Oryza sativa Japonica Group: one gene and its partner. The protein of the gene in region 2 interacts with the protein of the main gene of each other region in a pairwise test. Links are inferred from orthologs where the notes say so. Each region holds a gene or a part of one and is shown on either strand. Other genes may lie near its edges. The genes, in order: mini-chromosome maintenance complex-binding protein and dNA replication licensing factor MCM5.

The links.
Region 1: the proteins of dNA replication licensing factor MCM5 (region 2) and mini-chromosome maintenance complex-binding protein interact in binary tests that used the Arabidopsis thaliana proteins (3 or more experiments, as listed by UniProt). The link is inferred for Oryza sativa Japonica Group from reciprocal best matches to the Arabidopsis thaliana genes MCM5 and ETG1.

The regions. Positions count from the first base shown.
Region 1 is NC_089035.1:3,428,978-3,445,014, forward strand, and holds mini-chromosome maintenance complex-binding protein, read right to left. Parts: upstream 9,364-16,037; 5' UTR 9,299-9,363; coding exon 9,122-9,298; intron 8,716-9,121; coding exon 8,602-8,715; intron 8,521-8,601; coding exon 8,413-8,520; intron 8,294-8,412; coding exon 8,168-8,293; intron 8,077-8,167; coding exon 8,029-8,076; intron 7,796-8,028; coding exon 7,670-7,795; intron 7,586-7,669; coding exon 7,427-7,585; intron 7,309-7,426; coding exon 7,234-7,308; intron 7,143-7,233; coding exon 7,029-7,142; intron 6,910-7,028; coding exon 6,707-6,909; intron 6,607-6,706; coding exon 6,471-6,606; intron 6,389-6,470; coding exon 6,164-6,388; intron 6,061-6,163; coding exon 5,993-6,060; intron 5,868-5,992; coding exon 5,753-5,867; 3' UTR 5,587-5,752; downstream 1-5,586. Other genes in the region: uncharacterized protein, read left to right, coding at 3,154-3,241, 3,859-4,043, 4,135-4,332, 4,419-4,478, 4,824-4,973. UniProt on the Arabidopsis thaliana protein: Associated component of the MCM complex that acts as a regulator of DNA replication. Binds to the MCM complex during late S phase and may act by promoting the disassembly of the MCM complex from chromatin. Required for sister chromatid cohesion.
Region 2 is NC_089036.1:34,423,769-34,438,256, reverse strand, and holds dNA replication licensing factor MCM5, read left to right. Parts: upstream 1-1,609; 5' UTR 1,610-1,735; coding exon 1,736-1,902; intron 1,903-1,993; coding exon 1,994-2,108; intron 2,109-2,194; coding exon 2,195-2,338; intron 2,339-2,412; coding exon 2,413-2,592; intron 2,593-2,682; coding exon 2,683-2,781; intron 2,782-2,892; coding exon 2,893-3,020; intron 3,021-3,114; coding exon 3,115-3,220; intron 3,221-3,305; coding exon 3,306-3,440; intron 3,441-3,544; coding exon 3,545-3,622; intron 3,623-3,692; coding exon 3,693-3,797; intron 3,798-3,881; coding exon 3,882-3,973; intron 3,974-4,089; coding exon 4,090-4,222; intron 4,223-4,340; coding exon 4,341-4,436; intron 4,437-4,504; coding exon 4,505-4,599; intron 4,600-4,690; coding exon 4,691-4,781; intron 4,782-4,857; coding exon 4,858-4,967; intron 4,968-5,130; coding exon 5,131-5,260; intron 5,261-5,340; coding exon 5,341-5,442; intron 5,443-5,523; coding exon 5,524-5,607; 3' UTR 5,608-5,960; and 1 more. Other genes in the region: ATPase 8, plasma membrane-type, read right to left, coding at 6,296-6,392, 7,206-7,678, 7,886-7,951, 8,055-10,223, 10,304-10,351; large ribosomal subunit protein eL39y, read right to left, coding at 13,387-13,435, 13,532-13,635, 13,737-13,739. UniProt on the Arabidopsis thaliana protein: Probable component of the MCM2-7 complex (MCM complex) that may function as a DNA helicase and which is essential to undergo a single round of replication initiation and elongation per cell cycle in eukaryotic cells.

The DNA of each region.
Region 1 (16,037 bases), on a different chromosome or scaffold from region 2:
AGCATCCTAATTTTCATAGTATCTCGATCCTACTATTCATTACTACACGATCCTACGAAATCTTAGGTGGTATCCCGATTCTACGATCCCTACGATACTACAAAATACTACCTACAAAATACGATCCCTACGATCCCTACAAAGTATTATTTAAAATAACATGGTTTGAATATAATGTAACTAAATATGCTCAAATTTATATGAAAATCAGTTAAATATATCAAAACTAACGTGATTTCTCTTGATAAATGTCTCTATTTGCATGACATATATCATTACTATATTTTTTTATATAGAATGGCTATATATAATCAATATAAATATTAATTAAACTTAAAAAAAAGAAAATCTCATAGTATCCCGATCCTACGATACGATATTACTTTGAGCAAAACGATACTAGCTAATATCCCAATCCTAACAAACTTACATCATACCATCAGTGCAAGTGTTCTGAACTTCTCGGCGAGTTCTTGCGGCCATTGCCATGAAATGAATTCGCAGCTAGCTGCTATCGCATTGGGAAGAGGGAGCAAGATAGCAGTTGCAGTTTGGGCGGTTGATTGGTTACCTTACCTATGCATCACCAATTCGCCATGGTCGGCAATTGGGACTTGGGCGGTTCATCGATCAATACTGCTCGACCACCGGCCGGCTGCTCCCGTCACTTCAAAATCCCTTATATTAGCTAGCTCTGCTGCTAGTATTTCTTTTGTCTTGAAAAAAAACTTTTAAAGATGATCTGAACATATGCATACCTTTCATATTATCATCAGAACTTGACTTTTTTGGACAAATGCAAGTTCAGATTTATTCCCAGAAGTTATACTCCTTGTTGCTACTGCTGTCACCTCGTGTTTCTCTCGTCTTGTCATGGCAACAACCAACGCTAAGTGCAGGTGCAGCAAGCAGGAATGGGGGAGACTGGTTTGCCGGTTGGTGTCGCCGTGTCTGCGGTGATCGGTGAGGCGCAGTAATTGGATACTACCAAACTTGATGGGCCGAGCCCGTGTCAGCCTGTCAGGTCTTGGCCTTTTTACAGGCCCGCTTGCTTGCGTGCCCTGACATTCCTTTCGGCCCATCAAGGCTTACATTTATAGTATTAAATAGCTCAATTGTGCCATTCATGCAAAGAGTCGATATGTCCGAGTGGTTAAGGAGACAGACTTGAAATCTGTTGGGCTTCGCCCGCGCAGGTTCGAACCCTGCTGTCGACGCATTTTTTTCCCCTTCCCGTAGTAGGGTCTTGTGCTGTTGTGCCATATTTATCCCACTTTATTATCTTTTTTTTCCTTTAACTAGACATGAATTCCAGTCTTCGTGTCATTTATCCTTTTGTTAATATTTTTTCCCTTTAACTACACAGTAATTCTACTCTTGTGCCATTTATCCATGCAATTTATTTTGCTTGGACTATATCTCCTTGTATTCTTTTTTTTTTCTATTTCACTTGCGATAGATGTTTAGAGTCTTATTTTTAGATTTTCTTTTCATTCATAGAATCTTGCATCAAAGATTCGTGTACGCATAGATCTAACTTGCAATTACAATCAGTTACACAACACTTGTACAGAGTGTTAGCACTTATACTCAGTTACATGTAGTTACACTCAGTTATACATTTACAGTGCACCGATATTAAATTTTTACAACTATATTTTTTTCTAGATTTACAATTTTGGATATGTTTGTCTCTTTTTTTATTTCATTCGAAACGGGTTGTATATATTGGTTGAAATTCTGTAAAATTTAAAGCTCCAAATATGTCGAAAGATCAATGGGTAGACCTTTTTGCCCTTAAATAATTTTAACATATTTCTATTTATTTTTTGAGAAAAAAGTATGCTGTACCAAAGGAATAGGAGTACTCCTTTTTGGCACGTATAAACCCGCGGAACAAAATCATACAAACCAGCATCTTTTGGTCGAAATTGAATAATCACAAATCTAGCCACGACAGTGACTTTGCACTTCTATTAGGAAGGAACTGAAGTGTTTACAACAACCTGTTGTGTGAATCTTTTATCTGATTTTTCTTTTTCTTATCTCTTCATCATAACTCCAAAATCGAATAAAAACCAAAAACTAACTTAGGAAGAGGCAAACATAATTCTGTCTAAAATTTTGGGGGACAAAAAAAAACTATCTCCTTTCTTTTTGAAAAAAAAAAATCTACTTTCTCATCCACTCCTGTCGTTGTTCAGCTTAGCTTGGAAGGGAGGAGAAGAATCTTTTTGTTCCTCCTGTCCTGTCCATAGCTCATGCAACACAAGCCATTAATCTAATCTTGCATTCATCTACATCTAATCATCTACTCCTACAAATCTTGTAGTATTAAAGAAGCTTAAATGATTAAGATTTTTTAAAAAAATCAATAAGTTCAAGAAGATTCCCTTGCTCTCCTGACTTCTCCACCCCGTTCCAAGAACAAAGCAGACAGAGAGCGAAGAAGCAACAAGGTGAGCCCATGCTTGATTCCTTGATCCATATTAGCTTATTCTTAGCAACCACTCGCTGTTTCTTGATTTTCTCTGCCCGATTCGATTCCGTAACCATGGGGGGTTCGATTTGAGTATCATGAGCTGTTGATTTCATCTCCCACGAACCAAGGTAGGTTAGTAGCGGAAGAGAAAGTTTTATGCTTTACGAATTCGAGCGTCTGTAGTGATGAAAAGGAAGTAAATTTTGGATCTTTCTAGCGTTTGTTTCGGTGGGGAAGCTGAATCTGGCTGATTTGGTGCGCAACTCGTGTATGCATTGTTTGTGGAAGTGTGAGATCTAATCTAGAAATCTAATCCAGCGTTACCGAGTTTGTTGATTTTTTTTGTGCAAAAATTGGTCTTGAGATGGGCTGAAATCCACTGTATTGGGATTCTGAAGCGTTCCTGTAAGATCTAACACTAGATTTGGAATGTGAGAGAGGAGGAAGGGATCTATTTGAGGCTTTCTTTTGGCCATATGGAGAAATTTTAGTTAAGCAACCGGAGGGTAAATCTGTCTAGTCAACCATTTTGGGGAAAACTTCTGCATGATTGACCTCTGAGATGCATTCTGGTCGTCTGATGCACACAGCTTCAACTTTCAGTTGGATACTTTGGAGTTTTAACTTTCCAGCTTCTGTTTCTCTAATCTGCAATTCTGCAAGCAGGCAAAATGTGTTCCATAAGGAGCTTTGCTTTTGTGCTGGTATTAGCATTTTCAGTTGCAGTCGCGGAGAGCAGAGATTCATTTAATGTATTGGGTAAGTCATGAATTCATTATGAGAATGAATAATGTTACTAATATTTTCTCCATTCTTATTTTCATATCAATTGGTGTTTCTGATGATAATTCTAAGTAGATCAAGCGCCGCAATGGCAAGCAATATAACACTCTCTACAGTTCTAAAATATAAAGGAATACATTTATGTGTTGATCTACATTAATTATTCCACATCACGTTATATGCGTTGGTCTAAGATTGCACAAGCACATAATAGTAAAATTGGTATCTGTGTGTTTGCTGATGACGAATGTTATGAGAATTGCATTTCTGACCAGTCTTGCTTGACACATCTGCTGCATATCAGACATCATGAGTTACATTTATTTTATCTATTTTTGTTTTCATTTTGAAAACTCTTATCTTCACCTGTAATAAAATTGTAATTCAGATATCACACAGTGGTCAATATATCTTCAGCATAAGAATGATTCCGTTCTACAATTTTGTTTTCACTTGAAAACTCTATCTTCACCTGTAATAAAATTGTAGGTCAGATATCACACAGTGGTTATATCTTCAGCATAAGAATGATTTCGTTCTACAATTCAACTTATTAGTTTTTGACTCTACGGTCAATTTGTCATGTATTTCAGCTCATAAAAGCTTTCCCCTTGAAAACAAGAAGACAGGGTTAACTTCAGCCAATGGAAAGCTGTGTCAACTATGCGAGCAGTACTCAACGGAAGCACTGTTCTACCTCCAACAAAATGAAACCCAAACTGAGATTCTTAGCATCCTCCACCATGCATGCGCAAACGTTGGACCTCTAAAACAGCAGGTCTGAATAAATTTCAATGCCCGCCTTGGAATCAGAACATGCTAATTTCGTCAGACTAATTTTTGTATGCCAATGGTTTACCCTGTTACAGTGCATCACTCTGGTTGACTACTACATTCCCCTTTTCTTCTTGGAGGTTTCGATGGTAACACCTGAAAAGTTCTGTGAATCAGTGCATCTCTGCAGAAAGGGAACGATGCTTCGCCTACCATCTCGAGGAGATACATGCGGCATATGCCATCATGTTCTTGTTGAAGTTCTTATCATGCTAAAGGATCCTGACATGCAGGTAACTGCCATCATTTCAGATTTTCAATGGTCACAACCAATTCTGTATTGCTGGGGTCATACTTAATCGAATTCGTAATTTTGCAGCTGGAGATAGTCGAGATATTTCTCAAAGCATGCAGCAAGGCAGATAATTATGTACAGCAGGTAAATTAGTCACATTTATGGAAATACAAAATAAATCAGCCTCTACTAAAGAATCAAACACATTTTTCATGGTTGTTTATACAGAAAATCACTTAACATCCTGTAAGCAAAGCATTTCAAATGCTATAATGCTTTTCTCGAATGTGCTTGCATATACCGATTTGAGACATTAAGATGTCGCTGATCAAGCCCAGCACCTAGAAATTTATCTGTAATTAGCTTAGTTACCTGCAACTTTGTATCAGCTGAATGGTTTTCCTGATGAAATACTGCCATTTTAACCATTTGCAAGGCCCATTTCTAGTTCTGTTCTTCTCATGGCAGTCCTATTTGTAATTTTTGCAGTGCAAGAAGATGGTCCTTGAATATACCCCTTTGATTCTGGTGAAATCTCAGAAGTTTCTTGAGACGACAGACGTCTGCTCTACAATTCATGCATGCAAAACGGGGACACAAGCATCTGCAGAAACCATGCTTCTGTCTGCCGCATCGTGAAAACAATGCAAATCAAGAAATTGCTACTTATTTCCCAAGAGATTGAACCGGTAATGAATTGAAGATCAGATGCCTGTGGGAATTCTTTACTCTATTGCTGAAACAGTATTGAGTGAGGCAAAAAAAAATGTTGTATGTAGAGATTTGTGTTGTATATTTTGAACCTACACTGCTCTCAAGTTTGAAGCATGGAGCAGCTGTACCACCGTTCATCGATGATCGAGCATACAAAGTTACAAACTGTCTGATGTCATTGAATTTGGAAGTTACATGTGCAATTATCGCATTGTATCATTATCATTTGACAAACATTCATACTATTATTATTCAGTGTTTCTCTGTTGCTCTGGCTGGTCCAATGGTAGGTCAAATATATGAAAAAAAGAGTAAATATTGCAAGTGATACACGGAAAATTGTATGTTAAAATTTTGGCTCAAAGATAATTGAAACATGGCATGGAAGGTTCACTTGGTTGATAAAAATATTTGGGTGTCCATCCAATACTAGAACAGCACTTCAGGCTGTAGAATTTGCTGAAACCAATGGCAAATCGGATGGCAAGCCTGTAGGTGCAAGTTCAATTTTTTTTTTCACAGGTATTGCAAGAGATGCTTTTCAGGTCAGATAACTTATCAAATGGCATTGATACTTCCATAGGATCACAGAAGATGTTGCAGATCCACATCTTGATTTAGATTTTAGACCCTAGTGGTATACACATAACATTGGGCCACGGCCACAAGTGGATTTTACAAGCACATTTTACTGTGATCTCATCTCATTGTAGCCTCTCCTTCCTGAGCCTCTCCAGCTCCTTCACCATCTGCCAGTGCTCCATGGAGAGACTCTTCTCACCAAAGCTTGCAGCCATTATCTGTGCCATCGTTAGCCATCTGCAGATCCACATAAGCAGAATTAGTTTAGCAAAAGGTTTCATTTCATAATCCTCATGTAAAAGTAACTGGAGATGGTGTAGGATGCCAGATTGCCCACACTGACAGGCATCAGCGGCACACACCTGCTAAGTTCAGAACAACCCAAGCTCCTATCATCACGCATGGCATTGACCATTTCATCTTGAATCATCTACAATTAAGGCGCAAACATTATGCAATTTAATTAAGTCTGTTCATGTTCCTGACAAACATATCAGTTTATTTCTTGATAGAGTTGAGCAAGGGATAATCACCTGGTATGTATCAGTTTCAGTTGACTGAGGAAGAGACCTAACTGTGGCCAAATACCATCTCCAACTTTCAAGTTCCTCGGAGCTTGCATTTACCGCAGGAACAGATGATGGGCGGAAAGGTACTATCAAGTCAGAAGGTAGGATATTTGATTTTCCCTCGGAGAGAATTAGTAGCTGCACATCAGTTGCCATTTCCAACTTGTAGAACTCAAAATCATACTCAACCTGCAAAAATGTTTAAAGATGTTATAGATAAATTGGTCGGCAAAGATAATTTGTAGCCTCATGAAGTCATGAGGCTTATTACCTTCTGTGACTCCATCAAGTTCTTAAGCAGCATAGTATTCTCGACACCTTTGGATGTCAATGATCCAGACTGCAAGAGAGTCTCATCAAAGGTCAGGTGAGTACCCTGAGGTAACTGTAAAACTCCTGTAACCAATCTGCAGCAAAATTTAGGTGGGGTTATGTTAAAAGTGATTGTTGAATGATGAAAACATCAGGAGTAACAAATTCTTCATAAGACAAACAAACAATATGTACCTTCCTGATTGGTTGTCCTTTCTAGGCTGAAGTGTGGCTGTGTTGAGATACTCAATTGACAGAGGAATAACTTGTGAATATGGTAGTAGCCTCTGGAACAAATTATTTAGCTGGTTTCCAAATATAGAAACACTCTCTCTGTTAAAGCCAGTGAAATTCAAGGAGAGCCTACCAACGGTAACCACATCCACCTTATTACGAAGCTGCATGGAGATTGAGAACCAATAACTTAGTAAACTAATATGAACTGTTTTTAGCAGTTACAATGCAAAGAAAACAACTTGATGTAGTATAGATCAGCTGTGTTAGTGATATGACGTACTCTGGATAGAAGATGCAACAGTAAACATTGAGCTGCCAGTTCATCTTTCCCTAATACCAGAGTAAGATGTGAGAGCAAAGATTGCCGAATTCCCCTTAGCAGGATTGGTGATGGCTGCATGATAAAAAAAATTGGGATTAGTTATTTTAAATCAACGCTAAAACTGTTAAACCAACTTCTGCATTCAAGATTCAGTGCTATGTACCTCAACCGCAGGAGGCCTTGGTAGAAAATCATGAGCAGATAAGTTTCTCCATACCAAGCAGTGAAGACGGGGAACCTGTACAAATATTTACAAGCATTAGAAGTCAGAAAAAAATACAAATATGAATACACTTTCTTTTCATTGTTAGATATGAAATTGATCACTATGTAGTATGTACTTTTGATGCATGTACCTTACTGGGAGGCAGCTGAGCGGTTACATCTTCCATAAGGTCAAACATTATATCATCCGAATTATCGTTAGGAGCAGCAAGTTCAGGGTCAAATGTATATACACCTATGAACTCAGAAACATCGTTCAGTTTCACCTGACTTTCAGGCATATCATACACCTGCAAAGAATAGTTCAATCCGTAAACCATAGAAAAAAAAGATTGAATAGAATGCATTTCATGCAGAAAGCTTAGGAGCTCTACCTTCACTAGGCAGGAAAAGGAGCTTCCAGGAATATGATGATCTCCCCCATTCATCTCTGGGACATGATGTTCTTCATTCATTGACATTTCTACTGAACTATTTGAGATCTTGACACCATCATCCTTCTGAGGAAAAGTAAGGCAGTTTAAATCAGATTCCCAGTCAGCTAACTGTATGGATTAGATTTAGCATGAAACCAAGCAATTTGGAGAAGCATATATGCCATAAATCTACTAAGACATTTAAGTTATCCTACTTTATTAGCATGCAGAATTAATCTACAACCAAGCAAGGCAGTTGCGAGACTGTGTAAATGTTAGGAGACTACTAGGAAAGAAAAATCAATCTTCCTTCTTACCGTCTTCTTGCTGGATGAAGAAGTCTCTCCACTACCACTTTCTGAAACCTGCATCAGTCAACTCATTAGACGACAATACTACTTGTTAGGCAGCAAAGTGTCAAAAGAAACCATTGCAACAAACTTAGCAAAAGCTTACATCCATGGCGTCATTATCTGCACCCCTCTTCCTTTTCTCCCTTTGTTCAGATGTGAAGCAGCTTGCTATTCTGCGCAAGTCAGGGCCAGGGGACGACTCGCGTGTCCAAGAATTTTGTCCAGGCACCTGAAATAAACCAATGGCATTGTCCAGGTTGAATTCCAACATAAGCTGCTTATCAGCAATGAGTAAGACTAGGATTAATAGCAAATGAGCAGCAGGTGCTCTTGGAAGCGGCAACATACAGGCACACAGTGGAAAAGATGGCGCTCCCAGAGATGTGAATCACAAGGGTGTGGCATTGAGAACGGCGAGGAATCGGAGAATTTGTTTGTCCTCCAAGTGGAGCCATCCTACACAAATAATGGTTCAAAATAAGCATAACAAGCACTAAAATGCAGCTTTACATTAACTTATGTACTAAATTCCAATACCTTGAAAGCACCAACATAGAACTCGTTCCCGAGCATGTCCTGAACCATCCCCCGGAACCGAACAAGGGTATTCGGCTTGATCAATCCAAGATTTGATTCATCCAACACCGGAACCTGGAAAGGAAAATATTCCCACATTCCGTCATTCCCTGAACTTCCTAAGATTCATTTACACCCACAATACAAAATATCCTCTTTCTCTCTTTTTTTTGGGACAAGCTCAACATAAACATATGTGACATTCTAAGTATCTGAATTGAAATGTTTGCAAGAACAGCAAAAAGCAGTTATCTTTCACCCAACTTAGATCTGAGAGCATAGTACTTCCTAACCACATCTACTGATGATTCCAAATTTACCCTAAGAAAACCTTTAATCTCCCCGTCTCATATTCATTATAGACATTCAAAGATCACTAACTTTGACGATATTAGGGTTTCAGCGATCTACCAAATAACATCATTTTCAGAAATCGACAGCTGCGGCAACCATCAACACGGGGGGGGATCAGACTTCTTACCTTGTCAAGCCCGCCTTGCTCGAAGAGAAAGGAGCGGAACACCTCGGTGGCGCCCCAGTCTTTCCCCCGGAACGCCGCCACCGGCTCGTGCCCACCGGACTCCGCCGCCGCCCTCTCGAAGGTGGAGCGCACCGCCCCCAGGGGGTTCCCGACGAGGTCGTACTGCGGCCCCACCATCCTCCCTCTCCCTCTCCTCGCTCTCTCTCTCTCTCGTTGGGGAGATTGGGGAGCGGAGCAATGGCGGGAGAAGTGGTGAGGTGAGGAGGGAGAGGAGTTATAGCGGGTGGGGTTTTCGCGCCACTGGCGGCGGCGCTTCCCGCCGTTTTCTCCCCCTCTTCCCGCCAATGCGCGCCTCTCCTGGTACTTGGACCTTGGTGCGTCTATTGGGCCTAATGGGCCGTCCTAGCATTCGGCACGGGAGTGCGGCCCGTCTGCGGGTGCGCGCTGCTGCCGGGCCGAGATGCCTCCGGCCCATATGAGGCCTGCTTATTGGTTAGCGATCCAAATCTGGAAAAAGTCCACTTTGACTCCCTTAAATGTAAAACGAATCTAATTTGTACCCCTCAACCAGAAAACCGGTTAGAACGACTCCCCCAATTACTAAAACCGGTACAAATTGACTCCCTCGGTGGTTTTGTAGGACGGTTTTGCTGACGTGGCGCTGATGTGGCGATACCAACCCGGTCTTCATTCCACGTGGCGCTGACGTGGCGATACTAATCCGGTCTTCATTCCGCGTGGCGCCTACGTGGCATTAGAATTAAAAAATATCTGTGGGACCCATCTATCATTCACATATAAAATATATCGTGGGACCCACCGACATGTGGGACCCACTGACATGTGGGGCCCACCGACATCCTTTCTCCTTCCCTTCTTCTTCCTCCTCCCTCCCTCCTCTCTTTTCTCTCCCCCTTTTCTCTTCCCCATTCGGACGCATCAGTGGCGGCAGCGGCCGGGTGGATTGGCGACGGATCTGGGCGGCATGGCCGCGGCCCCTGCGCCCCCCCCCCTCTTCTGGGCGTCGGTTTCCTCGCCTTGTGTGATAACTAATACTCCCACTAGCTGCTACTACTACATCACTAGCTTAGCTAATGACGTCGCCAAGCAACCAACAACACTAAATTAACCAACTAAATACAAGCTAATTAAGCTAGTGTCGTCGTCATGTTGCCTAGCTAGCTAGCTAGCTAATTACTACTCCGGTGAGTGGATGGCGCCATGCTGCCATGGCGGCGCAGCAGCGGCAGCACATGTCCATGTCAGCGTCGTCGTCGCTGGTGACGAGCCTGAGCAACTCACGCGAGGGGAGCCCCGACCGCGGTAGTGGCCTTCCAGAGGGTGTCGGCGACGGCGATGTCCGCGGTGGAGTGCACCGGGACGATGGCGACGCCGTCGTTGCTGGAAGGGAGATTCGGGCGGGGCGGGAGCTCGCGGCGGCGGTCGAGCCTGAACGCGTTCGACATCATCTCCTTCTCTCCGGCAACTCCAGCGCCGGCGGCGGAGGTGGAGCTGTACCGCCGCGGCAGCCGCACCCGGCATCCGAACTTCCCACCGCCGCCGTCGCCTCGCTGCAGGATACGCGACAACAGCGACCGCGGTGACTGGCAGCTCTCGATGCCGCCGCAGCGCCGCTCTGCCCTGCCTTCGCGCCGGCCTTCTCCACCCACCGCCGCCCACGGCTTCACGCACTCCCTTGCCGCCCTCCGCTCCGCCATCCGTTGCCTCGGCAAGCTCTCCGCGCTGCTCGCCGACGGGAAGAGAAAGAGAGAGATAAGGGAGAGAGAGGGGGAGGAAGAAAGGTTGGAAAGGCTCGCCGACAGGAAGAGAAAGAGAGAGATAAGGGAGATAGAGGGGGAGGAAGAAAGGTTGGAAAGAGAATGATATCGGGACCCCACATGTCAGTGGATCCTATTATAATTTTTGTGTGTGAATAATAAATGGGTCCTACATATATATATTTTTAAATCTAATCTTACATCAGCGCCACATGGGACGAAGACCAAGTCAACACTGCCACGTCAGCGCCATGTCAGCAAAACCGCCCTCCAAAACAACCGAGAGAGTCAATTTGTACCGGTTTTAGTAATTGGGGGAGTCGTTCTAACCGGTTTTTTGGTTGAGGGGTACGAATCAGATTCGTTGTACATTTAAGGGAGTCAAAGTGGACTTTTTCCTCCAAATCTCGCGCACGCGTTGACCGTTAGATCTAATCGTGTGGTTCAGATCAAGTTGTGGAACGTGACTGAGTGAAGTATATTTTACACATAGGCCCTTCAATTAATTTCATAATATTGCTAGAGAGCGCGGGCCGATGGTTGAGCCGTCCAAGAGCGGCGGCGGCGCGGCGCTCCGGCGAGCGGCGGCCGGAGTCGCTCTCCCGGTTGGCGTTGTGTATGTGATAGAAGGCCAGGAACCCGCGCCATTGCTCTTCTCAACAGGAGCAGGTGAGATCTCTGACCTGTCAACGGCAAGGTCGTCTTCCTCGTCATGGACCTTCTCTCCCTCCCATGGCGTCGCCCACCTCCGAGGTCTGTACACTCCATAAACCAACCTCTCCTCCTCCCATAACGCAGCGTTGCCGGATCTACGCCCTCCAGAGTCTGAACCCCTCCGAATCCTCTCCGTTGCGTGTCTCTGGGGTAAAGTAGGCTATGGAGGAGCAACTTGCTTTCTATTTACTTCGGATGCTAAGATTGTTCATCTCAAATTGCTAATACATTTCGCATAAAGAAATTGCTAATACATGCCTCCAGATGCCTTTTTTTTCTCAAGTCATCCTACTGAGTTGGCGACTAGTAGGTGTTAATTGCTGCTAGTTTTCCTACTGAACATACCTAACAATACTGTTATGGGTGAATTTTTGTAGGCTCAGATTTTCTTACTGAAGAAATAACAGAAGCAATCGATGGAATAACTCAACAACATCTCAGGTGTGCTCCGAACCTCACTGCCAAAGCAAAATTCTATTGTTTTCACTAGTAAGCAAGTGTTACCTATAAATCACACATGCCAACTCGTTGATTCAGAACATCACTAGTATGTAATGTAAACTCTGTATATCAGTATATGATGTGTGCATCCTACTGGCTTGTGTAACTCTAAAGTAAATAAATATAACACCATTATCACCCATACTTACAGTGATTCAAATATTATCTTGCGACAACACTGACATGGCCCTGATTACAATAATGCACTGCAAGTGACCTTGATACAGAAAAAAGTTTATTTCAATACATGATACAGAGGGCTCTCTGTCTTACTGTAGCCTGTTTTCTAATGGGTATTCCCCATGATACTACAACAGCAATGGCCAACCCAAGGCCGAATCCCAATCCAGAAAAGAGGAACAACACAATATCTACGGATTTCTTCTTGGAAGGGATCACATTCAGAATTGTCATGTTGATGCAACCTTTAGATAGCGGAGGACCACACAAATCATTATTCCCCAGAAATGAGCTGTTGGTGAATGTCAAGAAATGAAGTGATTCAGGTATTTTTCCCTTAAGCTTGTTGTAGGATAGGTTTAGCATTTCGAGGAAGTCTAAGGATGCTAATTCTTGTGGAATGACTCCTGAAAGCTGATTTGAAGATAGATCCAAAGCTTCCAGCTGCTTCAGCCCACCAAGTTGAGATGGAATTGGCCCAGTGAGGAAGTTATGTGACATATTTATCCCATGAGTTAAAACAAGTTCCCCAACAATTTCTGGGATGCTACCATTGAATGCATTATTGGAGAAATCAATGAATACAAGGGTTCTTAGTATTTGAGCAAGTGTGGTGTCATGACCTTTGTATGTGAGTGAGGCTTTATATCTATATACTAGTCCTACACTTGGCACAGCATGATCCATGACCAATGATGTATTTGTGTCTATATGTAGCATCGACTCCAACTTCTTAAACCACTTGTCTTTGGGCAACGGACCAGAGAAGTTATTTGAGGATATGTCAATAATTATTGCATTTGGAAATGCACATGTGCTTTCTTCATCGGTGAGAGATTGAACGACATGTCCAAATAGCTTATTGGATTTCAGTACAAGCACTTGGAGTCTACGAAGTTTACTCATCCAGCATGGGAAAATGTCATTTATTTGATTGTTCCCAGCATCAAGGATCTCCAAATTTTGACAAGCAAGTAGGGATCTGGGTAGCTGTCCTTCAATCCTATTGCCACTAAAATATAGTGCATGAAATGAGCAGCCTTCCTTTATAGTATCTGGGATCTCCCCATCGAGTTGATTTGCATTTAGATTTAATATTTGTATTCCATTAACGTTCTCGATCAAACAAGATGGTATTGAGCCACTAAAGTTGTTGTTAGAGAGATCAAGGTATTGTAATTCAGTTGCAGTACAGAAAGATGGTGGGATTTCTCCGGAGAAGTTGTTTCCAGGGGCATTGAAAAGTGTGACATGACTAAGATGGGCAGTGAAATTAAAAGGAATCGATGAGAACATGTTGTTTGAGTAATCTAGCAATCTTGCAGAACCTTGAGGTATAGGTATAGTCCCCTCAAACATGTTGTTGCTAAGATCAAGCCAATCAATTTGTAAAGGAATAAAAGGGTTAGATCCAACACTAGTAAATTTATTATGTGCTAAAATCAAACTAGCAACGCCAGAATCATTCCAAGACTCCCATGCCCACGATGGTATAGCCCCATGGATTTGGTTTTTTGAAAGGTCGAGCCAAAGGAGTTCATCTTGACTCCTCAAGAAATCAGGGAATTTAGTGATGTTGCAACCCGATAAAGCTAATATTTGTAGTTTAGGGATGTGTGTTGATGAAGAATCGACTTTTCCATCCACCACCACAAGATTATTATCAGATATATCCAAGTAACGGAGGTGTTGTAGTCCCCATAATGATGCAAGTTTCATTGTACCGACAAGATTGTTTGAATTAAGGAAGAGTGTGCTCAGATTGGTGAAGTTTGAGATATTTTGTGGTAGTTTTCCTGAAAAGTTGCATTCATACAACACTAATTTTCTCAATTTCGTTAACTTACCTAAAAAAGAAGGGATAGATCCAGTTAGACCACACCTAGAGAATTGAAGGATTGTTAAAGAGGTAAGGTTTGTGATCCATGATGGTATGGTTCCTACTATTGTTGTTCCAGAAATCTCCAACGAATTCAATGATTTAAGCCACCCGATTGATGAGGGCAGCTCCCCTGAAAACTGACTTGCACCGACGCCAAGGTTCTTCAAATATTTGAGATTTCCAATGGAACTTGGTATTTCACCGTAGAAACTAGTCTCAGTGACAAATATATTTTCCAAATTACTAGCAACTGAGAAATTTGGTAACGAATCAGATAGTTCTAGATTATTGTAAAGATCAACTGTTACTAATTTCTTGTGTTGGAAGATTAATGGAGATACCTGTCCTTGAAGAAAATTGTGTCCCAGTTGTAGAACACGCAAAGAGGAGAAGGTGGCGAAGTTTGGAATGGGACCAGACAAATCATTAAACCGTAGGTCAATAACAGCAAGCGAGTGCATGGCAGAAAAGGATCCACAAATAGGACCAGAGAGCCCACAGTTTGGTAAGCTAAGAACCCGAAGGTTAGGAGTGGACGAGGATAGAGCATCGCACCATGTCATCCCGTTGTCGGACAAGTCCACAGCGCCGAGGTAGAGCTCCCTCAATTTTTTATGATTTGCGATTAAAGTTTCAAAGTTTGGCTCTTTGAGCACGCTAGATTCAACTGAATCAAAGGACAACACAGAATGACCTTGTGTGAATTCTTCTACTTCAAATCGAGTAGATAGGTCGAGAGATACTAGATTTGTTAGGCGACTGATGCTAGCGGTAGGTACCTGGCCCACGAAATCGGAGCTGGAGAGGTTGAGATAGGTGAGCATGGTGAGCCGCTCAAACCCTGTCTGCGGGAGTTAGGATCCATTGAAGCTGTTGCAAGCGAGGTTGAGGGAGGTTAGATGGAAGATCGCAGGATCAAGACCGCCGCTCTCCAATCTACGCCCTCCCAGGTCCAGAGACGTCACACGCCCATCCCCATTCCTGCAGTGGATGCCCTCCCAATGGCAACAGTCTGTGCCGGCCTTCCATGACCCAAAGGTGGAACTGGAGTTTTTGGTGATGGAGAAAGAACGTTTCAACCGGAGCAGCGCCGATGCCTGGTCCGGCAAGCATGGAACAACCGCCGGCGGCAGGGCTCCGGTGTGGTTGGCGTACGTAGCTGCTGATGAAGAAGGGACAATAATGAGCTGGGTGTGTAAGAGGATCAGCATCAACGGCAACACCAATGGCTTGTAACGGGTCATTGTGGAGTAGCAACTAGCAAGTACAGCAGTTTGATTGGGTTTACTGCTAGTCTGCTATACGTAAGAGGGTGTATCGATCGGTGTATGGACGGAGGATTCTACCGCATACCCTCGCACATTCTTATACACGATAACTCGCCAACTCGGATTCGTACGTTGCTAGCTGGATTAACAGAAGATCAACTCGGCCAGCCAGTCGTTGCTTCGGTGTTCTCTACTATTAGTAGAATAGTCTAAGCCGTTGATTTATAAGGCTATATCAGTACTTTGCTACTTATATGATTAGGGATAATTTTGATGTTTATTTATGGATCTGACTATCCATTTATTGGGTGATTTCTAGAAAAAAAAATCATCCAAATTTTTTCCAACTTTAGATTTACATCCAACGGACAAAAAAACAAATACATATTTATTTACACAACATTTTTATCAAAATTACAGTACACTTATATGTCATATCGACTGAATTTGCAAATGTAATTTTAGTTATATAGGACTGTAATTTTATATTTAAAAAATAACAAATACATATTTACTTACACATCTTTTTTATCAAAATTACAATCCACTTACATATCATATCAACTTAATTTACATATGTAATTTTAGTTATA
Region 2 (14,488 bases):
GTGGATGGTGATGGCCTTGGAGTCTCCGTCACAACTGCGGCTGCAGAGGATGGAGTGGAGTTGGGTTGGACGGGTTTCGCGTGACGCCTTGCGGCCGCTCAGATTCCTGGGAAAATTCAGAATCGGTGGGATGTGGGGGCTTGTTGGTTTTTTTACCAGAACAAAAAAAACTTTACACCCATCACGTGGTTTAATAAAAAATCAATTACATGTGTAAATTACAAGATAATTTTTTAAACCTAATAATTGTACCATGATTTAATAATATGGTGCTATAGTAAACATTCACTAATGATGGATTAGTTAGACTTAATAAATTTATCTCGCAGTTTCCATGCGGAATCTATAATTTGGTTTGTTATTAGACAACGTTTTAGTACTTCGAATGTGTGTTCGTATATTCGATGTGACACCCCAAAATAAAAAATTTTGCCATCTAAACCAGCCCTTACGCACGTTATATAAAAATTGGCTAATATCAACCGACTCTTTTTTTTTACAAACCAAGATCTAATGTTTTCACGAAAACCATTTGGTTTTGAGGATGGCAGCCTCCCTCGCAGATGCGACCGGTGGCCTTCTTCCCCTTCTCCCCTCTCCTTCTCTAGATGCAGCGGGGTGGCCGTCGTTGTCGTTGATCTTGGCACCGAAGCCGGTGGCATGCGTCGTCTGAGCAAGCGGTGAGACAGCTTCGAGATTGCCCTCAACATCAGAGTTGCCATCTTGCTTCTCTCCTGTGCTTGGTGGCAGCGACGACTGTGGTGGAGGTGGTGTCGTCGACGGCATATTTAGACTTGGAGGAGCTCGTTGGCCTCCCTGCCTTCTCCCTCTCCATGCAGTTGAGGTGATGTTGGCAACGGCGAATTTGGACTTGCCACTCTTCATTGGAGGAGCCTCCTCGCCGCCTCCATATCCGTGTGGTGGATGTAGTGTTGGGCGACGATGGATTTGAATTTTGCCCCCTCACCGGCCTCTTTGCTTCCTCTCTCTCCGTGCACACTCACTGGGCTCTCCGTCCCCTTGGCAGGCCTCCGCACTAACTCCGGATAGCTTTGGCTCGTCGGCGAAGAGAGGAGATAGAGGTGGAGGAAGTGGGTTAGTGGGTCCCACTATTTTTTATCTTTTTTGTTTGACTGATATATGGCTCCGCATATTATGTTTTATTTTTTTTCAAGTCATATCTTTTTATTTTTTTTTCGGGATCAAATTATCATATAAGCGTCACGTCAATATCACGTGAGACAAAAACCTAGTTAAAGGAGCAACGTAGGCATCACATCAATCAAAACTACGGACAATACCGTCAAGGGATCTTATTTTCGCTGGTTTTATAAGTTATATGATATACTGTGTGTGGTTTTACGGTTCAACGACGGTTTTATAACTCCGCGACAAAAAAATGAGAGACCCCAACTATACTTTTTACTCTAAAAATCGGCAAATCGCCATGCTTTTGGGCCAAAATGGCACATTCTACTCCTTTAGCACCCTGCTATGAGAGCCCAGGCCCACAAAAACCGGCCTGCCTAGCTGCCTCTCCGGTCTCCTACCCTACCCTACCTCCCCAGTTTCCCGCCAAATCTCCCCCAGTTTCCCGCCAAATCTCCTCCTCTATTACCCTCTTCCCGCCACTTCTCCGGCGTCTTCCCCCCTTTCCCCGCCGCCCGCGCACCCACGCGTCTCTCTCCCTCTCTCTCCGCCGCCGCCGCCGCCGCAGCCAGCCAGCCATCCAGCCATGTCGGGTTGGGACGAGGGCGCCGTCTTCTACAGCGACCAGGCGCAGTTCCCGCGCGGCGGCCCCGGCGGCGACCCCTCCGCCGACCTCACCCGCCACTCCGCCCTCCGCAAGTTCAAGGAGTTCCTCCGCGGCTTCACCGGCCCAACCGGCGACTTCCCCTACCGGTGCGCCCCCCCTCCCTCCCAGATCTGGTGCCTCGTCGGATGGTCGAATTCGCTCTGACCAATCCAGTGTGTTTTTGTTTGATGGTTGCAGCGAGAGCCTGGTGCACAACCGCGACCATGTCACCGTCGCCATCGAGGACCTCGACGCCTTCGACGCCGAGCTGTCCGACAAGATCCGGAAGTCTCCCGCTGATTACCTACCGCTGGTGTGTGCTGGTTCTTTCTGAATTTTTGTTGGCTCTGGGTTCTGTTGATGTCAATTTTTTGTGTTAAGATTTAGGGTTTTGTGTAGTTTGAGACGGCTGCGTCCGAGGTCCTCGCGAGCCTTCGGTCCAAGGTCGCTGGAGAGACCGGCGAGATGGAGGAGCCCGCCACCGGCGACGTGCAGATCTTCTTGTCCTCAAAGGAGAACTGCCTGTCCATGAGGTCTATTGGGGTCAGTTCTGAAACGATTTTGTTAGTAGCCTTGTGAAGAATTTCAAATTGACACAACTGTATTCCAAATTCCAGGCGGATTACATGTCCAAGCTGGTGAAGATTGCCGGGATCACAATCGCCGCGTCGAGGGTGAAAGCTAAGGCCACTCATGTCACGCTGCTCTGCAAGAACTGCAGAAGTGTGAAAACGGTGCCGTGTAGGCCTGGCCTTGGTGGGGCTATTGTCCCACGATCGTGCGACCATGTTCCTCAGGTCTAACTCCGGCTAAACATAATTGGGTTATTGTCTTGTTTGTGTTTTAATTCTGATGTATATGAGTGAGTTTTCTTTACCATTTTTCAGCCTGGAGAAGAGCCTTGCCCCTTGGACCCCTGGATTGCAGTTCCAGATAAGAGCAAGTATGTGGATCTCCAGACCCTCAAATTGCAGGAAAATCCTGAGGTTTGTTACTGCATTATATGTCCTCGCTGCGATGCTATGGTTTTCTAGGTTTATTGGTTATATGTCCTTAGGATTTAGCAATCACCAAGCTGTATATTACTTGGTTAACAGGATGTTCCAACTGGTGAGCTCCCGAGGAATATGCTGCTGTCCGTAGACAGGCATCTTGTTCAGACCATTGTTCCTGGAACTAGATTAACTGTAATTGGTATCTACAGTGTCTACCAAGCATCTGCAAAGTATGTTGGATCTAAAACATCTGCTCAGTTTGTTTCCATTTTGTTGAGCTAGACTACTTGCATAGCTGATGACGCTCAAATATTCATTTTGCAGCCAAAAGGGTGCTGTTGGAGTCAAACAGCCTTACATTAGAGTTGTGGGGTTGGAGCAGTCCCGAGATGCCAACTCGAATGGTCCCTCAAATTTTACACTTGATGAGGTAGATTGCTTTGCCAAAATTCCAAGTTTCTTTTTTAAGAGTGTTACAGCATATTTACAATGTTAATTTTCTTGTTGGTTTGTAGGAAATGGAATTCAAAGAATTTGCACAGAGGCCAGATGCATATGTCAAGATTTGCTCAATGATTGGCCCTTCAATTTATGGCCATTCTGATGTCAAGAAAGCTATTGCATGCTTGCTGTTTGGTGGCTCAAAGAAGGTATATTTTTGATCTTATCAGTGGCTAATATGTGAAAATACAAAGTTGTGTTGGATCCAGTGGCTAGTTGGAATGAGCTGTAACTAAACTTTCTTCTATGGCAGAGGCTACCGGATGGTGTCCGTTTGAGAGGGGACATTCATGTCTTGCTGCTGGGTGATCCATCAACAGCAAAATCACAGGCAAGTGTTTTTTCGCTATTAGAAATGAATTATCTCTAGTCCAGTGACATGAAACTGTACATTCCAACAGTTCCTCAAGTTTGTGGAGAAGACAGCGCCGATTGCTGTCTATACATCTGGGAAAGGTTCATCAGCAGCTGGTCTCACAGCGTCAGTAATTCGGGACGGTAGCTCTGTAAGCTTGTCTTCCCTGCAAGGATTATTGTGTTTACTCAAAGTTCTGTTTCCTAGAACTAAAAGACTTATTTTCCCTGTACAGCGAGAGTTTTATTTGGAAGGAGGGGCCATGGTTTTGGCTGATGGTGGAGTTGTTTGTATTGATGAGTTTGACAAAATGAGGCCTGAGGACCGGTAAGCATTGATCTATAGTCTTCTTTCTAGAAACTAAAATAAGCATTGCACATGTAATTTTTCCTTACTCTTCAAAGTTGAAACCATATTGAGTTACCTTTATGCTGTGATTCCAGAGTTGCAATTCACGAAGCAATGGAACAGCAGACCATCTCGATTGCCAAAGCTGGCATTACAACAGTACTCAATTCAAGGACCTCGGTACTAGCAGCTGCCAATCCAATTGCAGGGCGCTACGATGATCTTAAGGTCAGTCAAAGTTTTTATTATTGACTTGTACTATTTTCATATTTTGAAAATGTATTAACAGTTCTAGCCTTATATGCAAGGCAATCAGTTTGACACATTTTCTATTGCTACTCCTCAGACTGCACAAGATAACATTGATCTGCAGACAACCATCCTTTCTAGATTTGATCTAATCTTTATTGTTAAAGATGTCAGAATGTATGATCAAGACAAGGTATGACGCATTATTCTTTGTCCAGCTCATTGATGTGCTTCAGAGACTAAATAAACTTCCAATTGCAGCGAATTGCAAGCCACATCATTAAGGTGCATGCCAGTGGTGCTGCTGCTTCATCCAAGAATACAGATGCTAGTGAAGGAGAGAATTGGCTAAAAAGGTGTGGTTGGCCTTCTATGTTCTGATATACATACTACACAGTTTTGATATGATGTTCTTGGATTGTAAATGCATAATCCTCACATGTGTAGGTACATTGAGTATTGCCGTGTTACTTGTAAACCACGACTCTCAGAAAAGGCAGCAGAGATGCTTCAGAACAAATATGTGGAGATTAGACAGGCACGTGCTAAAGATTTTTCACTTAGTCTAACTGTTATTAAGACTGTTCTACTTATTTATTTTTTTCATTGTGCAGAAAATGAGACAACAAGCTCATGAAACAGGGAGGGCTGCAGCTATACCCATCACTGTGCGGCAGCTTGAAGCCATTATACGTTTGAGTGAATCTCTTGCAAAGATGAGATTGTGAGAATATAGCATTACTATACATTTGACATTTCTTTTTGCGAGTAGCTCAACTAGCAGTATATTTATATCTTACATTTTTCACATATTGGCTTTTATTTCCAGTGGGTCATAACTTACATGTTTTATAATGTTCCTAATTGGCACTTTGAATAATTATCAGGACAAGTGTGGCTACACCAGAGCATGTTGAAGAGGCATTTAGGCTGTTCAATGTCTCCACTGTTGATGCCGCAAGATCTGGAATCAATGAGCATTTGAACCTATCACCAGATATTGCAAATGAGATCAAGGTTAATCTTCCCATCCAAAAGTGAACTGCCAACTTGTCAACTTTGTTTTCTGAATTTTGTTGCCCATTTTGTTCCAACAGCAAGCTGAGGCACAAATAAAGAGAAGGATGGGAATTGGAAGCCACATATCCGAGCGACGCCTGATCGATGAACTAAATAGGATGGGGATGAATGAATCCATTGTGAGGAACCTGTCATACTATTTGCTATTTAATTAATTGATTTAGTATCATTTTTCTTATGCTACCATTCGGCTGCTTCAGGTGCGAAGAGCCCTTCTGATCATGCACCAAAGGGATGAAGTGGAGTACAAGAGAGAGCGCCATGTCATTGTCCGGAAGGCTTGAGGTGAACTGTGGAGTATTTATAAATCGAGGACAACTTCTATTCAGACTGTATAAGGCTATGAGTTCACTGAAACTGTAATCTCTGGGAGAAGACAAGGACATGTTTGAGTTTCGGTTGATCACTGACATGACCATTGTAATCTGCAAGAGTAGAAGAAATGCACTCCGTCCTTGATGAAACTGTAGTTAAACTACAGTATTAAAGATGTAACTGTAGTGAAACCATGTAACCAGGGTTCTGAAATGGCTAATGTATTAAACTACAGTATTAATTCATGGATATAAATGGCTAATATTCTGCAGTGCCCAGACAAGAATTTAAAGGAGCAGAATTCAGCTGAGTAATCAGGGCATGTTTTTGCTGGGTCAAAACTGATGATGATTGACTAAACAGTAGTATACAGACTGAGTTGAGGCAAAGTTGATAGACTGCAAATCTGCAATGGGAACAATAACATTGCCAAAAAAACCGGCTTAAAGCCAAAATCTTACAAATAACTTGACTATACTCAAAAGTGCACCACCTGTTGTATCGGGAACTATTCCCTGTTAACAAAATACAAAGAAGGGAAGAAACATCTATGTCAAAACACAAGTCGAAACCCCCATCTCCAAATAACTTGCAGATGGGGAGGAGTAAAACACAGGTATGAACAACAACAACAACACATCGATGGCATGCTGTATGTTACACGGTGTAGCTCTGTTGGATTGTGTCGATGTCGAGCCCCTTGAGCTTCACCACCGACTCTACGTGCCCCTTGAGCGTGTGCAACTCCCTCAGTCTGTCCATGGAGATGAGAAATCAAGCAGTGTGCTAGCTAGAAAGTTGAACATTGGTTGGTTGCAGTACAGAGAATGTACTACATCGGTCCCGTAATATAGAAGCGTAGTACCGGACAAGACATTCTACTAGTAGTAATCTAGATAATGTCTTATCTATGTACTACCTCCGTATTTCAATGTATAATGCTGTTAATTTTTTAAACAACGTTTGTCCATTCGTCTTATTCAAATTTTCTGTGCAAATATAAAAATATTTATGTCATGCCTTAAAGATTATTTGATGATAAATCAAGTCACAATAAAATAAATGATAATTACATAAATATTTTAAATAAGACAAATGATCAAACGTTGATAAAAAAGTTAAGGGAGTCATAGGGAGTACTGTATTATTATAGGGAGCGTATCCTATGCACACAGGCCCTCGCGTGTACGCACCGTGTACACCAACTAAAAATTATCACAAAAAATTTTAGAAAAATTCATACATGTACTTTCAATAGTATTACATCTACGTGCAAAGTCGCATCTTCAAATTTATTCTACATAGAGAATAACAAAAAAGATAAAATTCTAACAAAATTGCAACCTTAAAACTGTCAGATTCTTTGTTTTTTTTGTTACGGCTAAAATATAATGAATTTGACGTTAAGATTTTAATCTTAGGTGTAATACAATTGAAAGTATGTGTATGATTTTTTCTAGATTTTTTGGTGACATTTTTTAGTTGGTGTGCACGTGTGTACACGTGAGGGCCTGTGTGCATAGGATATGTTGCCATTATTATATCATGGGATAGAGCAAGTTTTTACCTGGCGACCTCGGCTCGCTTTGCGGCCTGCTCGGCGATCTCGGAGAGCTCGCGGTAGCCGGTCTTGTCGTTGAAGAGGTCGGAGCTGGTGGACGACTGGTTGAGCCCGTGCAGCGTCCTCTGCGCCGTCGCCCACTGCGCCTCCCGCTCCCCCTTCCCGTAGTCGTTCTTGTTCACGAACGCCGTCTTGTTGTTGATGTTGTTCCACGCCCGCCCGCTCAGCGCGTACCGGATGATGAACTTGAGCACGTCCAGCGGGAAGTAGGTCACCACGCTGAACGCCCAGATCGCCCCTCCCCACCCCCACCCGATCCCCTGCATCTTGCAGAACTCCCACTCCGCGTACACCGCGATGCACGTCGCCACCAGCTGCGCCGCCAGGAACGCGATCACCAGCAGCGCCCCTGGCCTCTCCACGAACGACCAGCTCCGCGACCTCGTCACGAAGATGAGCGCCTGGCTGATTATGCTCACCTTTGTTTCTCGAACACGTAAAAAGATTGCACGTCAATATATCAGAAGAAAAGAATATATGTTACTCAACGCACTAAACCAGACCGACTTATATCAAAAGAGGAGGGAAACAAAAAAACCAAGGGAAAAAAAAAAGACTCGGATACTACGACTCCAAACAGCGGGAAGGGGGCAGAGCCCACCACTCTCCCAGGTGATTATGCTCACCTGCAGGTACAGCGCCGCCATCATCTCCTTCTCGTTCGTCTTGATCGACCTCACCCCGAACGTCTCCTGCGTTTTTTTTTCCAGTCATTTTATAATAGGAGGATACAAAGGAATCAAAGAGGCTCTGCTCTAAGAGAACGTATAAAATGTACTATGTGTTTTGTAATACTGTGAAGAAGTCGGTGTCGTGCGCGAGGTAGAAGAAGAGGGCGGTGATGAGCGCCATGTACGTGCCGAGCACGATGCCCGTGGCGAAGATCTCCTTGAGCTTCCACGAGTCCGGGGTCGGGGACGGCTTGACACGGTCCTTGGAGATTGTCATGATGGTGCCGTCGTTGAGGATGGCGATGATGAGCACCATGAATGGGGCGAAGTCGAACTTCCAGAGGAGGGCGACGAGCATGAAGCCGAGGACGATGCGGATGGTGATGGAGACGGCGTAGATGGTGTAGTTCTTCATCCGCTGGAAGATGGCGCGGGAGGTGAGCACGGCGCTGACGATGACGCTGAGCCCCGGCTCCGTGAGCACGATGTCCGACGCGCTCCGGGCGGCGTCCGTGGCGTCGTCGACGGCGATGCCGATGTCGGCCTTCTTCAGCGCCGGCGCGTCGTTCACGCCGTCGCCGGTCATGCCGCAGATGTGCTTCCGGTCCTGGAGGCGCTTCACGATCTCGTACTTGTGCTCCGGGAACACGCCGGCGAAGCCGTCGGCCTTCTCGATCAGCTCGTCGATGGGGAGGCCGCTCATCTCGCTGCTCTTGTCGCCCAGCAGCGTCGTCGACGGGTACATGTTGGTGCCCATCCCGAGCCGCCGCGCCGTCTCCTTCCCGATGGCGAGCTGGTCGCCGGTGATCATCTTCACGTTCACGCCGAGGTGCAGCGCGCGGCGGATGGTCTCCGCGCTGTCGTGCCTCGGCGGGTCGAACAGCGGCAGGAGGCCGACGAACTGCCATGGCTCGCCCTCGCTCTCCTTGCTCTTCTCCGGCACCTTCTGGTACGACACGCCCAGCGACCGGAGGCCGCGGTCCGCGTACTGGTCGATCAGCGTGTGCACCTTCTTCTCGGCGTCCTTGCTCATCTTGCACAGCTCGATGATCTGCTCCGGCGCGCCCTTGCTGATCCTGTGCCATTCGCCATTGCCGTCGATGTAGGTGATGGCCGTGCGCTTCTCGACGGGGTTGAACGGGAGGAAGTGGACCTCCTTGATGCCGGCGCGGGCCTCCTTGGGGTCGGCGAGCATGCCCACGATGCATGTGTCAATGGCGTCCTGGTTCTCGACGCGGGACGCCCTCGCCGCGTACAGGAGCACCGAGTCCTTGTCCAGCCCCCGCCCGTACACCTCGATCAGCGTCTTGTCGACGGTGAGCTTGTTGAGCGTCAGCGTCCCGGTCTTGTCGCTGCAGAGCACGTCCATGCCGGCCATCTCCTCGATGGCGGTCATCCGCTTGGTGATGGCGCCCTGCTGCGACAGCCGGTGGGAGCCGATGGCCATGGTGACGGACAGCACGGTGGGCATGGCGATGGGGATGCCGCCGATGAGCAGGACGAGCAGGTTGTCGATGCCGTCGCGGTACGCGCGGTGCTGGATCGGGTACATAACGATGATCTCGATTATCATGCCGACGCCGATGGAGATGATGCAGAAGTTGCCGATGGCCGTGAGCACGAGCTGGAAGTGGCCGATGTTGTTGGTGCTGTCCACCAGGTGCGCCGCCTTGCCGAAGAAGGTGTGCACGCCGGTGGCGATGACGACGGCCTCGATCTCGCCCTGCTTGACGGTGGACCCGGAGAAGACGCCCTGCCCGGCGTGCTTGTTGACGGGCATCGACTCGCCGGTGAGCGCCGCCTGGTCGACCTTGAGCGGGTCGCCCTCGAGCAGCCGCGCGTCGGCGGGGATGATGTCGCCGAGCTTGATGCTGATGATGTCGCCGGGAACGAGGATGGACGCGTCCTGCTCCTGCCATTTCCCGTCCCTGAGCACCTTGGTCTTGGGCGCGAGGCCGGCCATGAGCGCCGCGGCGGCGTTCCCGGCATTGTTCTCCTCGATGAAACTGATGGTGGAGTTGATGACGAGGAGGACGACGATGCCGACGAAGTCCTGCCAGTCGGGCGGCCTCCCGCCGCCGTTGGCGAGGACGATGGCCATGATGGCGGCGGCCTCCATGACCCAGGAGAGGGGATTCCACATGAAACCCAAGAACTTGAGCAGCTTGCTCTCCGTCTTCTCCTCCAGCTTGTTTGGCCCGAAGATGTTGAGCCTGTTCTGTCCCTCCGCTGCCGACAGCCCCTGCTTGCTGCATTTCAGGTGCTGGAACACCTCCTCCACCGGGATCGTCTCCTGCAAACAAACAAACAAAACAAGAAAAAAAACTAAGAACGAACGCACAAAAGAATTGCACGACTGTATATATTACGTACGAGGTCGACGGTCTCATTGCGGACGTCCTCGAGGGAGATGGAGGCCATGGGGGGGAGGGGAGGACGGGTTTATTAGTTTGGTGGTGAGTGATGAGGTGGGGTGGGGTGGGGGGGGAGGGGGAGGGCTTCGCCCTCAGCCGCAGCCGCAGCCGCGCGGACGGCGCGCGGTGGTGGTGGAGGGAAGGAGTACGAGGCTTTGCCTCGGTGGGGGTGGGGGTCAGTCCGAGCGCGCGCGCGCGGCTGGGATGGAAGGACGGAGATGGCCGTGGCACCGCCTCGCCGCCTCTTATAAGCAGCGGGGACTCGGCAACGTTGCGCGCTCCACTAGCGGCTTTGGATTTGCATGCGTGTCTCCCCGGGCGCGACGCGCGGCTGGCCTCCCGTTCGCCGCGCCTGCCGTCCGTCCGCACCCACCGGATAGGCTTGATTGCTGGCCAATGGCCATGCATTGCAGCACGTTTGGTGGTTTTCGTTGCGGCCGGACGGCACGGACAAGTTCGTCCCGAGTCGTCTACCGTGTCAGATCAACGTCTTTTGGTTTTCAAACCTTTTTTTTTTGTTGCGGCCGGACGACGGGACGACACGGAGAAATTCGTTCCGGAGTCGTCTACGTGTCAGACCAACGTCTTCGGTTTTCCAAACTCGTTCCTATCGTACGGCCTTGCACCAAGGAGACGTACCAGGATATATAGGGATGGCATTTTTTGTCGATGGATCCGCCGGATACACACACGAGTGTAGGTGCGATTTTTTTTGCTTGTGGGTACGTACGTTCGCCCGATACCCTAAGCGACTGGTGTCAATACACTTAGCATCCTACAATAAAATACTACGTCCATCCCAAAATAATTGTAATTCTATGTTATTTAGCATATATAAATATTTGAGAAGAAAGCATATGATACCTCTCATTAAATAGTGTTTATATGAGAGTGAGAAGATGGTTGATGGTAAAATAAGGAGAAATTTGAATGAGATCGATGGGACAATTAGAACTCTAGAATTATAATTATTTTGGGACGAATTTTGAATCTTAGAAATACAATTATTTTAGGACGGAGGTAATAGCCTTTTAAAGGGAAATTAATGAGTAATCACTCAATGACTTACTTCTTTCAATAATTGATGGCAATACACTTAGCATACAAGAGATTTTGTCGCGGCCATAAAATTTCCTCGTGGGCTCGGCTAGACAACCCATGCGGCTATGGCAAACGTGACCTTGGGCTCATAAAGGCAAACGTAAACTCGTCTTACGCAGCAAGATGTGTATATCAATTTGCAGTCGGCGTCTAATTCAAAGGCCAGTGGAATGAAACATCAGTCGGAACAATCTCAACAGAGAGAACGAAATGATTCGGCACCGAAATGTAGAAGTGTGCTCACAGCTCAGGCAAGATTATTAGTATGTAACTTGGCATAAAACCTAATGGACAGATCATTGATGTCAAACTGAGCTGTAAGACAAATGGACAGAAGTCCCAAACTTGGCCCTTAGTAGACGAATCAATAATGACATCATTTACACCAGTTCGTACGTCATATAATTCACAGTAATGAACTAGCATGTAGTCTCATACAAACATAGCCAAACCATATGATCGAGTTCAGCATAAAAGGTTAGGCATTGAATCATACAGTCAACCCAAACCTAAAACACACCTTGCACTGCTGTGACAAACAAGACCCCATCCTTAAGCTAGTACACTCTTCTGAGCTACGAACCTAGACAGACCATCCAACCAAAAAAAAGCATCATCGCCATGTATTATATCCATGTATTCTCAAGTAGAATAGAACACCAATGAAACAAGCATAAACAATCCTTTAGTGCGTGTCTCGGTCAAATAACCATAGTTCACAACAGAACACAAGCATTACAGCATGGAAATATAAAGCCTAAACATAACCAAAGTCTTCTATGATTGATAGAGAATCCATGTTGGTATTAACAAGCACATGAATTGACTACATTCAGTTTAACATGGATAGAAGTAGAACACAGCAAAAAAAAAAAAGGTAACACTACTGTTGTACGACCAAAAATGTACACTCCTGCAGATTATGGCCGTGGAGTGTTTGCTCCACACATCTAAAAATATGCTTTCTCAAAAAAAACTTACTGCATTGTGTAACCCTCATGTTCTACACTATTTGTTCATTTTGTTTCTAAAAATATTAAATTCATCCCTATGATCAAGTAGATAATCAGCTGAATAATCTGTTTCAAACAGTCCCAAATGAGGCCACTGTTCAATAAAGAGATCAAGTAACTATCTGAGAGTGATGGTTGCCAATTCGTAGACAATCACAATTTGCAACATTATAACAGTCAGAAAATAAGTTGCATTAGTTTCAATTGCATAGCATTGCACCAATGGTAGAGGCACAATATTAGCTTTGTTTCCTAGAAGGACCATTGCAAAACCACGTAATCCACATAAACCCCATACATACAATTGGTACAAGCACAATATTAGCTTTGTTTCCTAGAAGGACCATTGCAAAACCACGTAATCCACGTAAACTCCATACATACAAAAGAATTACTATCAACAGCTTGACCTGCCTAAGGATCCCACTCCATCCCAAAATATTGCAACCTATAACTGGATTAGACACATCCTAGTCCAACAAATCTAGACAAACCCCGCATCTAATCCAATCCTAGGTTGCTATATTTTGTGGCGGAATGCTTTTGGTAGGATGGAATAACAATGGAGCAATCATACTCTAACAACGGCCCAATAGAATAACAATGGAGCAATCATACTTCCAACGATATTGAGAACAAATCACCCCTCCAGCTATGCAATAACAAATTTAAAAATGAAACAGAATAAGCCTGTGAAATAACTTCAAAAGACATATATTGGAATGGTTCCTTTACTCAGCACAGCATAGCATGGTATCCTCAGTAAACCAGAGTACAACTACACTTAACATTTCAGAAAACCTTAATAAAAAGCATCCTGGAATCACATCCTAAGCTTGCATAAACACTGAAACATCCATAAAACAAAATGATGCAGATAACTCAGTAACCCTAGCCTCCGCAGGCAGCAACCGGTGCTACCTCCTGCTCAGAACCCAAGCTTGGTGCGGCGCCAGTGCCTGCGCTTCGCGTTGTACCTGAACAACACAAACCAAACCACGACATCTCAGCGGATATGCCTAAGCCGAATCGAACTCGGGAGGAGCAAAGACTGAGCGCGAAGAATAAATCACCTGATGGTGTTGTCGGTCCGCATGCGGATCCAGTAGGGGATGGGGCGGTTCTGGCGCATCTTCTTCGCCAGCTTCTTCTTGATGCGGAAGGTCTTGTGGGACGGCTGCGGCGAAACGAAACAAGCAAGCAATCACATCAACGAAACGTCGGTCGGTCGGCCGGAATGGATTCGACGAGAGAAGAGCGCGAGATCGAGGAGCGTACCATCGTCGCGGCGGGGACGAAGAAGCGGCGGCGGCGGCGGCGAAACCCTAGGTGCGTGAAGTGTGGAAGAAGTGTGTGGCTGGGGATTATATAGTGGGCACCAGTGCGGTTCAGAATGGGCTAACTGGGATGGGCCTTTTTTTCCGCAATTTCTTAATTGGGCTACTTTCCGATGGTTAATTTATGGCTTGTTGGGCTCGTCAACATTGGTAAACTGGGCTTTAAGAGGGTGATACAATAGAAATTTAGGCCCAGATCAAGATTATATTTCGTGGCCCATTTGATTATTACTGAAAGGTCACCTTGTCGTAGTAGGATTCGTAATGAATTTACGCAAAGCAGCTCAATAATTTCCACTCAAAATTAGGAAAATTCTACATTCAGGCAGAATCTTTATATCGTCTTTTTTTTAGAACAGAATCTTTATGTTTTCTGTTGTCAAATCCATCGCTTCCAAGTTCTAAACAAGCTTGAAAAATTATCTTGACACAAGACTAAAAATCTCGAACATTTTCCAACATCTGCAATTAAGAGACTCATGGGTTGGTCTAATAAGCCAAAACAAAAGCAAAAATTAAAATTTTCAAAATTGATTTCGAGTTGATGTTTAGATATTTTCCACGTAATTTTGTTTTAGCGTTGGCTTTTAAATCGTTATGAATAAATATATAAAAATTTTACTTACTTGACGTAAAAAAATTTAGTTACCAATTAATTTTTATTCCCCAATAAGCAACCGATGGGCAGGGTTT